Linked DNA regions of Arabidopsis thaliana. The protein of the gene in region 1 interacts with the protein of each later gene in a pairwise test. Each region holds a gene or a part of one and is shown in the gene's direction. Other genes may lie near its edges.

Region 1 (6,479 bases):
GCTTTTTGTTTCGTTCATGATCAATTTGTTTGTAACTGCGGTTTTCGCGAAAGGGTTTTATGGAACCAAACAAGCTGATAGTATAGGACTGGTTAACGCGGGATATTACCTACAAGAGAAATATGGCGGTGGTGTTTTCCCGATACTATACATTTGGGGGATTGGTTTATTAGCTGCTGGACAAAGCAGTACTATAACCGGGACTTATGCTGGACAGTTTATAATGGAAGGGTTCTTAGATCTTCAAATGGAACAATGGCTATCAGCTTTTATAACGAGAAGCTTTGCTATTGTACCTACTATGTTTGTTGCTATTATGTTTAACACATCCGAGGGCTCGCTCGATGTTTTAAACGAATGGCTTAACATTCTTCAGTCGATGCAGATTCCTTTCGCGGTTATTCCTCTTTTGACTATGGTTTCTAATGAACATATCATGGGTGTCTTCAAGATCGGACCTTCGCTTGAGGTAAAGCAATTTTTTGTCATCTCTCTTTATTGTTATGTGCTTTTGATTGTAACGAGTTAGTTGGGATCTTTGCAGAAGCTAGCTTGGACTGTGGCGGTGTTTGTGATGATGATAAATGGGTATCTTCTTCTAGATTTCTTCATGGCTGAAGTGGAAGGGTTTCTTGTTGGGTTTCTGGTTTTTGGTGGAGTAGTTGGATACATCAGTTTCATCATCTATCTTGTTTCTTATAGAAGCTCACAATCTTCTTCCTGGTCGAGTTTAGAAATGTCAGAGAGAGTTGTTTCCACAGAGACGTAGAAACCCATAACTTTAGTATTCTTCAACCCTTACAACTTATCTGAGCAAAATCAGAAGGTCGAATTTGATGGATGGTTTTGCTGTATTTGGTCAACGGTTTTATTTGAGACAGTAGACCAGAGGAAACTCAGATGTGATGATGCAAAGACTGAATTGGTTAAGAGTGTAGATTGATTTGTTCTAACATTGCAAATGTAGAGTAGAATTATGCAAAAAACGTTAATGAACAGAGAAGTGATTAAGCAGAAACAAAATTAGAGAAGTGATATTATATCTCAAAATTTATTTTTGGTACAGCTAAAGCTCAAATTGTTATAGAGATTAGAGATATTAAACCAAATGACGAGTGTTTTCTTTAGTAGTAAACGGTGAAAATTCTCTTCTGACAAAGACAATTAAAATTTTAGGTTTAAGACTTTAATATTTGTCACAAATTGTCATTTACCTAAATAAAAAAAAAACTAAATATTTTTTTTAGATACATATGTGTCTTATAATTTTAACTATAAATTTTAATTTTATGTCTTAAATAATTGTTTACACTATAAATTTAAATATTTTAATGCTAAAATTAATTTGATTCAAAAAAGTGATTTTAATTCTTATTTTTCTTATAGAAAGTTGGTGATTGAAAAGATTTACTTAAAAATTATAACAACTTCAATGGTGAATAACCCGACCCGAATAAACCGGATATAACAACTTCAATGTTAGCTTGATATAGAAAGTACGGTGACGCTTAGGAGGCAAGCAAGCTAGTATCTGCCGCTGGTTAGAGACAAAGAACATGTGTCACTCCTCTCAACTAAAACTTTCCTTCACTTTCCCGCAAAATCATTTCAAAAAAGCTCCAAATTTAGCTTACCCATCAGCTTTCTCAGAAAACCAGTGAAAGAAACTTCTCAACTTCCGATTTTTCACAATCCACCAAACTTTTTTTAATAACTTTTTTTCCTCTTATTACAAAACCTCCACTCTCATGGCTTCTCAAACTTGTTATCCATCCAAATCTCAATCCCTAATTAGGGTTCATTTCTCTGTTTCTCCAAACAGGGGAATTCGAAGATGATGGAGTCTAGGTCTCCCATCTGCAACACTTGTGGTGAAGAGATTGGTGTAAAATCAAACGGAGAGTTCTTTGTGGCTTGTCATGAGTGTAGTTTCCCGATCTGCAAAGCTTGTCTTGAGTATGAATTCAAAGAAGGTCGAAGAATTTGCTTGCGTTGCGGCAATCCTTACGATGGTACAATTATAAATTTACAAACTTTATTCGAAAGTTTGATTTTTTGGTTAAAGAGTATTTATAACTTGTTTTGTTTTGTTTTGCTTTCATAGAGAATGTGTTTGATGATGTTGAGACAAAGACATCTAAAACTCAATCCATTGTTCCAACACAGACCAATAACACTTCTCAGGTTTGTGTGCTTAGCTAAGATTAGTTGCTTTTATGTCTTAATTAGATTTTACAAATTTGAGAACATTATCTTGACTTTTTCAGGATTCAGGGATTCATGCTAGACATATAAGTACAGTCTCAACAATAGACAGTGGTAAGAACTAAGAAACAAAGCCAAAATCTTTGTATACATTTGGTGAGGTTATTAATAGTTTAACTAACTTGGGGATTGTTGTTTCTTCCTGAAGAACTGAATGATGAATATGGCAATCCAATTTGGAAGAACAGAGTGGAGAGCTGGAAAGACAAGAAAGACAAGAAGAGCAAGAAGAAGAAGAAAGATCCAAAAGCAACAAAAGCTGAACAACATGAGGCTCAGATTCCTACCCAACAGCACATGGAAGATACGCCACCGTAAGCACATCCTCGTACTAATCTAATAACATTCACCAAAAAGTTTGAGACGTTGATTTGGTCTCTGCCGTTTGTATTCTCAGGAACACAGAATCTGGTGCTACAGATGTGCTTTCGGTTGTGATTCCTATCCCAAGGACAAAAATCACTTCATATAGGATTGTCATCATCATGCGGTTGATCATCTTGGCTCTGTTTTTTAACTACCGTATCACGCATCCTGTCGATAGCGCTTACGGTTTATGGCTAACATCTGTGATATGTGAGATTTGGTTTGCTGTTTCTTGGGTGTTGGATCAGTTCCCTAAATGGTCTCCTATTAACCGAGAAACTTACATCGACCGGTTATCCGCAAGGTTACAAATGTTTTATAACCGTTATATGCTTAATCTGCGCAGTTACTACCAATCTTTAAGTTTTATGAAACCATTTATCAAAACTATGCAGATTCGAAAGAGAAGGCGAGCAATCACAGCTTGCAGCTGTAGATTTCTTTGTTAGTACGGTAGATCCATTAAAGGAGCCACCTTTGATAACTGCAAACACGGTTCTTTCGATCCTCGCGCTTGATTATCCGGTGGATAAAGTCTCTTGCTATGTATCTGATGATGGTGCTGCAATGCTTTCGTTTGAGTCTTTGGTTGAGACAGCAGATTTTGCTAGGAAATGGGTACCTTTCTGCAAAAAGTACTCCATCGAGCCACGAGCTCCCGAGTTTTACTTCTCGCTTAAAATCGATTACTTGAGGGATAAAGTTCAACCTTCTTTTGTGAAAGAACGTAGAGCCATGAAAGTAAGTAAGCAAGGGCTTTAAAACCTTAAATTAATCTCATATAGCGTTAACCGATGATTGAATCGAAAACTTAATGTCTAATTTCTCTTCTTGTAGAGAGATTATGAAGAGTTTAAAATAAGAATGAATGCTTTAGTCGCCAAGGCTCAAAAGACACCAGAAGAAGGATGGACAATGCAAGATGGAACATCTTGGCCCGGGAACAACACTCGTGACCATCCCGGGATGATTCAGGTTTGCTAGCTAAAACATTTGACCTGAAATGCTCTGTCTTTTCTTGTTAGTCACGTAATTTCTTTCTTGCAGGTTTTTCTTGGATATAGCGGTGCTCGCGACATTGAAGGAAATGAACTTCCAAGATTAGTTTACGTCTCTAGAGAGAAGAGACCTGGTTATCAGCATCACAAAAAGGCCGGGGCAGAGAACGCATTGGTAAACTTCAAAACTTTTTCTTTTATCGTTCAATTTAGCACAATCCTAATGATTTTGTTCTTTGTAGGTGAGGGTGTCTGCGGTTTTAACGAATGCTCCATTCATTCTTAACCTTGATTGTGATCACTACGTCAACAATAGCAAAGCCGTGCGTGAAGCAATGTGCTTTTTAATGGATCCTGTTGTTGGTCAAGACGTTTGCTTTGTTCAGTTCCCACAGAGATTTGATGGAATCGACAAGAGTGATCGATATGCTAACCGCAACATTGTTTTCTTCGATGTAAGTTATCTCATACTCATAACTTCAAGCAAAGTTTTGAGATTTCTTATGATATTTTGTGGTTTTGATATGATGTTTTCAGGTTAATATGAGAGGGCTTGATGGGATTCAAGGTCCAGTTTATGTTGGTACAGGTACTGTCTTTAGAAGACAAGCACTTTACGGATACAGTCCACCTTCAAAACCGAGGATTTTACCGCAATCTTCATCATCGTCGTGTTGCTGTCTAACCAAGAAGAAACAACCTCAAGATCCTTCCGAGATTTACAAAGATGCAAAGCGAGAAGAACTTGATGCTGCAATCTTTAATCTTGGGGACCTAGACAACTACGATGAGTACGACAGATCGATGCTGATTTCACAAACAAGCTTTGAGAAAACGTTTGGTCTCTCTACGGTTTTCATCGAGTCTACTCTTATGGAGAATGGCGGTGTTCCCGACTCTGTAAACCCGTCAACGCTCATCAAAGAAGCTATTCATGTCATTAGCTGTGGATACGAAGAGAAAACTGAATGGGGAAAAGAAGTAAGTGCCTTGTTTCTTCATATCAAAGTTCTCTTGTGAGTACATTTTATAACCTTTCGTTCTGTTTTCGCAGATAGGATGGATTTACGGGTCGATCACCGAAGACATTTTGACGGGTTTCAAGATGCATTGTCGTGGATGGAGGTCGATTTACTGTATGCCATTAAGACCAGCATTTAAAGGATCTGCTCCAATCAATCTATCAGATAGGCTTCACCAGGTTCTACGTTGGGCTCTTGGCTCGGTTGAGATCTTCCTTAGCCGACATTGTCCTTTGTGGTACGGTTGCAGCGGAGGCCGCCTCAAGTTGCTCCAGAGATTAGCTTATATAAACACTATTGTCTACCCATTCACTTCTTTGCCTCTTGTTGCTTACTGTACTCTTCCAGCTATTTGCCTTCTTACCGGCAAATTTATCATCCCAACGGTAACTTTTTCATACTACTAATTACTTTGGTTAGGTTACAGCAAGATTGAGAATTTGATCTTTGTTTCTGTTCTTTATTGCAGCTATCAAACCTAGCAAGCATGCTGTTTCTAGGTCTCTTTATATCAATCATCTTAACGAGTGTCCTCGAGCTTCGATGGAGCGGAGTCAGTATCGAAGACTTATGGAGAAACGAACAGTTTTGGGTTATTGGAGGTGTCTCAGCTCATCTCTTTGCCGTTTTCCAAGGATTCCTCAAAATGCTCGCTGGTCTCGACACAAATTTCACAGTCACATCGAAAACCGCAGATGATTTAGAATTCGGTGAGCTTTACATTGTCAAATGGACAACTCTCTTGATCCCTCCGACGTCACTTCTTATAATCAACTTGGTCGGAGTTGTTGCTGGATTCTCTGACGCTCTTAACAAAGGTTATGAAGCTTGGGGACCTTTGTTTGGGAAGGTATTTTTCGCCTTTTGGGTGATTCTTCATCTTTATCCATTCCTCAAAGGTCTTATGGGAAGACAAAACAGAACACCTACTATTGTTATTCTCTGGTCTATCTTGCTTGCTTCTGTGTTTTCACTTGTTTGGGTTCGTATCAATCCTTTCGTCTCCAAAACCGATACGACTTCCCTTTCTCTGAACTGTCTTTTGATCGATTGCTAAGAGAAGATACGTTATGTTTGTATTTTGAAAGATTGATCATATGTGTTTTGGTTGTTTTATAAATTTTCATATGGTTGCTTGAGCCACAAGTTAAGTAATGTTCTTATTTTAGCAACAAGTCTTGGCGGGTTCCGCAAGTTAGGTTTCTATTGTTTCAACATCAACATGTTTTTAAAAAGCAAAATATTTTATATCTTTTCAAATTATTGAAGTTTGGTGGAATCTGTCTCGTATAAAAAGACAAACAAAAAACAACAAAACTGAAACAAGCAGAATAAAAAATACAAATCAGAGTCCATGAACAAAAGCATCAATGTCAGGCTGAGGAATGTCATCAAGCAAAGAGTCAATGCTACATCCTTCCTCAAGCAGCTTCTCATTGAATCCAAAATCATCAGTAAACACACATTCAGGCACAATCCTGTCTTGTCCATACACCTCCTCTTCCTTCTTCTTCTCCTCAACCGCAACAACAACATCCTTCTTCTTGTTATTACTCTCTCTGCGTCTACCTCTTGCAGGAACAGAAGAAGCCATCAAAGCTCCCATATTCAAGCTCTTGATGTAATCCTGCAACAGAGAAGGTCTTGGATACTTAGATCTACATTTTCTTTTAGAGAATTGTCTTCTTTTTGTTGCGTTCCAATGGTTCTTGATCGAGTTCTCTGTTCTTCCCGGGAGTCTTTTCGCAATCTCTGCCCATTTGTTTCCAATCTCTTTGTGAAATTCTATCAACACTCTGTCCTCTTCTTCACTCCATGTTTCTTTCTG
Region 2 (5,174 bases), on another chromosome or scaffold:
ATTGTTGGACATCTTTTACATAAAAAGATACAACATAACAACGTGGTGGTACAAGGGACTTCTATTTGTTGGTTGTATGGTTGCAAGTGTCTTGATTTTTGGAGGTCTTGTGGTTGTTTTCTGGCATCGCTGGGAACACAAAACCGGTGAAGTGGAAGCAAATGGCAACGACAAGGTAGATTTGAATGGAGAAGAAACCCATAATCCATCTGCAGCAGAGCTTAAGGGCTTGGCAATAGAAGAAGATGTCCAGAATTACACCACTATTCGTTATGGCACCAGACCGGCCTTTAGAGGTATACACTACAAAATTAGCGGTGTCAAGTCCAGTTATCTCGTTTTTTTATTTATAAAATTATAGAAACTGAAATCATTCGGAACGGTTTGACACGGTTTCGTTCGGTTCTTGAATCCGACTTTTGGTGTAGATATTTGGCTCGATTCGGTTAAGTTAAATCTTTGATTGGTTCATGTAATATTTTTATTTTGTAATTGCAGAGATATTTGAGTCATTGAATGGGAAATGGGGGAGTGTGGATGTTGGAGTGATAGTATGCGGTCCAGCGACTCTTCAGACGACCGTAGCCAAAGAAATACGGTCACATAGCATCTGGCGATCGGCGAATCATCCTCTTTTCCACTTCAACAGCCACAGTTTCGATCTCTAACGATGCTTTCAAGGCCAAAGAACATTATGGAAGGAAATTCGAAGACAAATTGATGCATATATTTTAGGTAATCTCTGTCAGTATGTACTATGGAAACAGCTATGGTTGATATGTGTATGTTTATCTTTCAGTTTTCGATGTATAAAGTAGAAATCAAATGTATGAGCATCTATGGTTTCTAGTTCTACACTTGTTGGTGTTTCTACATTGGACATTTAATATTAATTAAATGCAAGCTGATAAGTCCTATAATTACATAGCTGCCCATATATTTTCGGAATTTTTTAAAGTAGAGATATATTCATATATATATGAGGGATTAGATTCTATAATTACGAATGTATTTAATTTCAAATTAAAAGTTAGATTCTCATAATTCTCCTTACTTACTCTGTGAGGGATTAGAGTCGTAAAAATGACCACAAGATGTAATTTTTTTTTAGGTCATTGATCTACCATCAATTTGTCGGACACACTTATCTTATAAGTTTTAAATTTTAACAAATGTAAGTGAAATTTTGTGGTAGACTATCATTTTCAAGTAGAAGTAGAATTTAAGTAACCTTCCTTGTTATAATTTTTTTTTAAAAATTATGTCATTACTTAGAGCCCACCAGAAATGATGACGTGTAAAACACCATAATCATAAAGGATAAAATAAAATTATCATCCCACCGACAGTTTATTAGCGGAGATGTCTTTTTCCATCCACCCGACATTAGCCCATTGCTTTACTAGTAAACAAAGTATATGCAATTTTTTGTTAGAAAAAACGGTGCATAAAAAATAATATTTTAATGTCTCCGACAAATTTTAATTGTATGAAAAATAAATACACAAGATTACAAGTTGGCCAAAACGCTCAATCATAGTTGGCCAAAAATATACTATTCCAAAATTAGAGTTAGCTGTAACGTAACATGTACAAATAAACCAAACAAAACATATAATAACAAAATAATTGAAGTGAGTTTTAAAAAGGAAAAAAAAAAAAGAGTAAAAAACCAAAACCAGATCTCTCAAAGAGTCTTTGTACATTATTGACTAGAGAGAGCTTTTTAGCTTCACATTTCTTCACTTCCACACACTTTTACTTCTTTCTCTCTTCTCTTCTCTTCTCCAGATCTGATCCCAAACCTTTGATTCATTGTTGTTGTTCTCTGCTGCTTTATCAGAGAGCATCATCATGTACGGAAGAGATCCATGGGGAGGTCCATTGGAGATAAACACTGCAGATTCCGCCACCGACGATGATCGTAGTCGGAATTTAAACGATTTGGATCGTGCGGCTCTTTCACGTCCACTAGATGAGACGCAGCAGAGTTGGTTACTTGGTCCAACGGAGCAGAAGAAGAAGAAGTACGTCGATCTCGGTTGTATTATCGTTAGCCGCAAGATCTTCGTCTGGACTGTTGGTACTCTTGTTGCCGCCGCGTTACTCGCCGGATTCATTACCTTGATCGTTAAAACTGTGCCGCGTCATCATCCTAAGACTCCGCCGCCGGATAATTATACTATAGCTCTACACAAAGCTCTTAAGTTCTTCAATGCTCAGAAATGTAAGTGTAGAATCTACTTAGATCTGATAAAATTTAGATATAGAGTTTTAGATCTAAGTCTGATTTTGATTGTTGTAGCTGGGAAATTGCCAAAGCATAATAACGTGTCATGGAGAGGTAATTCTGGGCTTCAAGATGGGAAAGGTGAAACAGGAAGCTTCTATAAAGATTTGGTGGGAGGTTATTATGATGCTGGTGATGCTATCAAGTTCAATTTCCCCATGGCTTATGCTATGACTATGTTGAGCTGGAGTGTTATTGAATATAGTGCTAAATACGAAGCTGCTGGTGAGCTCACTCATGTTAAGGAGCTTATCAAATGGGGAACTGATTACTTTCTCAAGACTTTCAATAGTACTGCTGATTCCATTGATGATCTTGTGTCACAGGTACTTGTTTATGACCTTCGTAGGAGATCTTTCATATTGAGTTGTTTGTTCACTCGTTACATGTTTAATGTAGGTTGGATCAGGGAATACTGATGATGGAAATACAGATCCTAATGACCATTACTGTTGGATGCGACCTGAGGATATGGACTATAAAAGGCCCGTGACTACTTGTAATGGTGGATGTTCGGATCTCGCTGCAGAGATGGCAGCTGCTCTGGCTTCAGCATCTATTGTATTCAAGGATAACAAGGAATATTCTAAAAAGCTTGTCCATGGTGCTAAGGTGGTGTATCAGTTTGGAAGGACGAGGAGAGGGAGATATAGTGCAGGCACTGCGGAATCTAGCAAGTTCTATAATTCAAGTATGTATTGGGATGAGTTCATTTGGGGTGGTGCTTGGATGTATTATGCTACCGGAAATGTAACGTATCTCAATCTAATCACCCAACCTACTATGGCCAAGCATGCTGGTGCCTTCTGGGGTGGCCCTTACTATGGTGTATTTAGCTGGGACAACAAGCTTGCTGGTGCTCAGGTCAGTCCACACATAACAACCTGCTGTGTTTATGTTTCTTAGATATTCATGTCTTCTTGATCATTTGCCTTAACCATACTACTCTTGACTCTTTTGAATCCCTTTTGCGATTTTAGTTGCTGTTGAGCCGGTTGAGGTTGTTTCTGAGTCCTGGATATCCATATGAAGAAATTCTAAGGACCTTCCACAATCAGACCAGCATAGTCATGTGCTCATACTTGCCTATTTTCAACAAATTTAACAGAACCAATGGTTAGTTACCTTCCAGCTTTAATGTCTGCCTCTAATAAAACTCCAACTGTGGGGCTTGTTCTTGTTTCAGATATCTAAAATGAAATCTTTGGTATGTGCAGGAGGTTTAATAGAGTTGAATCATGGAGCTCCACAGCCGCTGCAATATTCTGTAAATGCAGCTTTCTTAGCGACTCTATACAGTGATTATCTGGATGCTGCTGATACTCCTGGATGGTACTGTGGACCTAATTTCTATTCGACAAGTGTGCTACGTGACTTTGCTAGATCCCAGGTATTGCTTCTTTTCCTTTACTCTTTACAGAAATGGTAATCTCAGATATAGTAATGGATAAGATCCAAAAATGACACTTTTAACCAAGATTGTACGAAGATCTTTTTAAACTCCATTTTTTATTTTGACATCTAAATTGGATTTAACTCGGCCTTGCTGTATTTTGGCAGATTGATTATATACTGGGTAAAAACCCTCGGAAAATGAGTTATGTCGTTGGTTTTGGCACAAAATACCCAAGACATGTGCATCACAGAGGAGCTTCGATACCCAAGAACAAAGTCAAGTATAACTGCAAAGGAGGATGGAAATGGAGAGACAGCAAGAAACCAAACCCAAACACGATTGAAGGAGCCATGGTTGCTGGTCCTGACAAGCGCGACGGGTACCGTGATGTCCGTATGAACTACAACTACACTGAACCGACTCTTGCAGGCAATGCTGGTCTAGTCGCAGCTCTTGTGGCATTATCGGGTGAAGAAGAAGCCACCGGTAAGATAGACAAAAACACTATTTTCTCAGCTGTTCCTCCTTTGTTCCCTACTCCACCACCTCCACCAGCACCATGGAAACCTTGAGAAAGCTAGACTTGTGTGATTCTGTCGCTGCTGCCAAAAAAAATGAATGAGGTAAGAAGGATTTGGGTGTGAGACCAGAAGATTAGAAGCTAAACACAAGTCAGCCATAACCAAACTACTAAGGATTTCATTTGGCTTTACTAGATACAAACACGGGGTGGGTTACTTTACCACAAGCATTGTCTTTCTTTTCTTTTTTTGGGTTGCTGTTTTGTTCTTGTGAGATATCATATATATCTATGCGTTTTACTCTGTATATGTTTGATACCAAACTTGTATTCTTTGATAAACAATTTAATGAACTGTATTAAACTTTTAACTATGTTTTATTGTGCAAGTGTGAGATCAACCTGGAATAACAACTGTAGTCTACTAAAATACGTGATTCTAGCATGCATTTACTCATTTAATGGATATAAACGATGATGCAGAAAGAATATTGCAGTAAAGAACGGAATTACATATGGCATTCTTTATACATGATGAAGTTGTATTCACAGAGATCATGGAGAAACCCAAATTAAACTGTTATCACAGTACACAGGCGAGATGTGTTCGAGAAGGCGTCATCGTCAATCAAACGAGCTTCGATATTACATGACATGACGCCCAAAAGGCCTTTGATGCAACCCTCAGGATCACGGGGTTTTGATAGATCCTGTCGGTGAAATGAACAAAATAAAAATGCTTGGTGAGAACGATAAACAATGGGACTATTAGATTTTGCAATGTAGAAGATGACTAGATGATATTATACCCTATAACAGTTGCGCTCCATGACGCTACGTTGTAAGCAACCTTACTTCCATCCCAGGCTTTCCGAAGTTTCCCCTTTCTATTCTTCACTGAGAACATCCTGCTAAGTGCTACATTACAATTCAAACACTAATGTTACAGTTTTACTACTAATCTGATA

Evidence for each region. Proteins that work in one complex are often made in the same cells at the same time.
Region 2: the proteins of IRX1 (region 1) and GH9A1 interact in a two-hybrid assay, tested with the Arabidopsis thaliana proteins (one study listed by BioGRID).

Annotation. Positions count from the first base shown.
Region 1 is NC_003075.7:10,312,075-10,318,553, reverse strand, and holds IRX1 (cellulose synthase family protein), read left to right. Parts: upstream 1-1,667; 5' UTR 1,668-1,834; coding exon 1,835-2,012; intron 2,013-2,104; coding exon 2,105-2,184; intron 2,185-2,267; coding exon 2,268-2,319; intron 2,320-2,413; coding exon 2,414-2,579; intron 2,580-2,662; coding exon 2,663-2,935; intron 2,936-3,026; coding exon 3,027-3,372; intron 3,373-3,468; coding exon 3,469-3,606; intron 3,607-3,678; coding exon 3,679-3,804; intron 3,805-3,871; coding exon 3,872-4,084; intron 4,085-4,166; coding exon 4,167-4,610; intron 4,611-4,683; coding exon 4,684-5,037; intron 5,038-5,120; coding exon 5,121-5,708; 3' UTR 5,709-5,930; downstream 5,931-6,479. Other genes in the region: NRAMP5 (NRAMP metal ion transporter family protein), read left to right, coding at 1-469, 545-769; MYB98 (myb domain protein 98), read right to left, coding at 5,997-6,476.
Region 2 is NC_003076.8:20,196,849-20,202,022, reverse strand, and holds GH9A1 (glycosyl hydrolase 9A1), read left to right. Parts: upstream 1-1,554; 5' UTR 1,555-1,854; coding exon 1,855-2,227; intron 2,228-2,305; coding exon 2,306-2,616; intron 2,617-2,689; coding exon 2,690-3,154; intron 3,155-3,270; coding exon 3,271-3,406; intron 3,407-3,507; coding exon 3,508-3,680; intron 3,681-3,850; coding exon 3,851-4,258; 3' UTR 4,259-4,632; downstream 4,633-5,174. Other genes in the region: FRO6 (ferric reduction oxidase 6), read left to right, coding at 1-296, 499-668; AT5G49710 (RING finger protein), read right to left, coding at 4,835-4,916, 5,016-5,124. UniProt on the Arabidopsis thaliana protein: Required for cellulose microfibril formation. Involved in cell wall assembly during cell elongation and cell plate maturation in cytokinesis. Required for secondary cell wall formation in the developing xylem.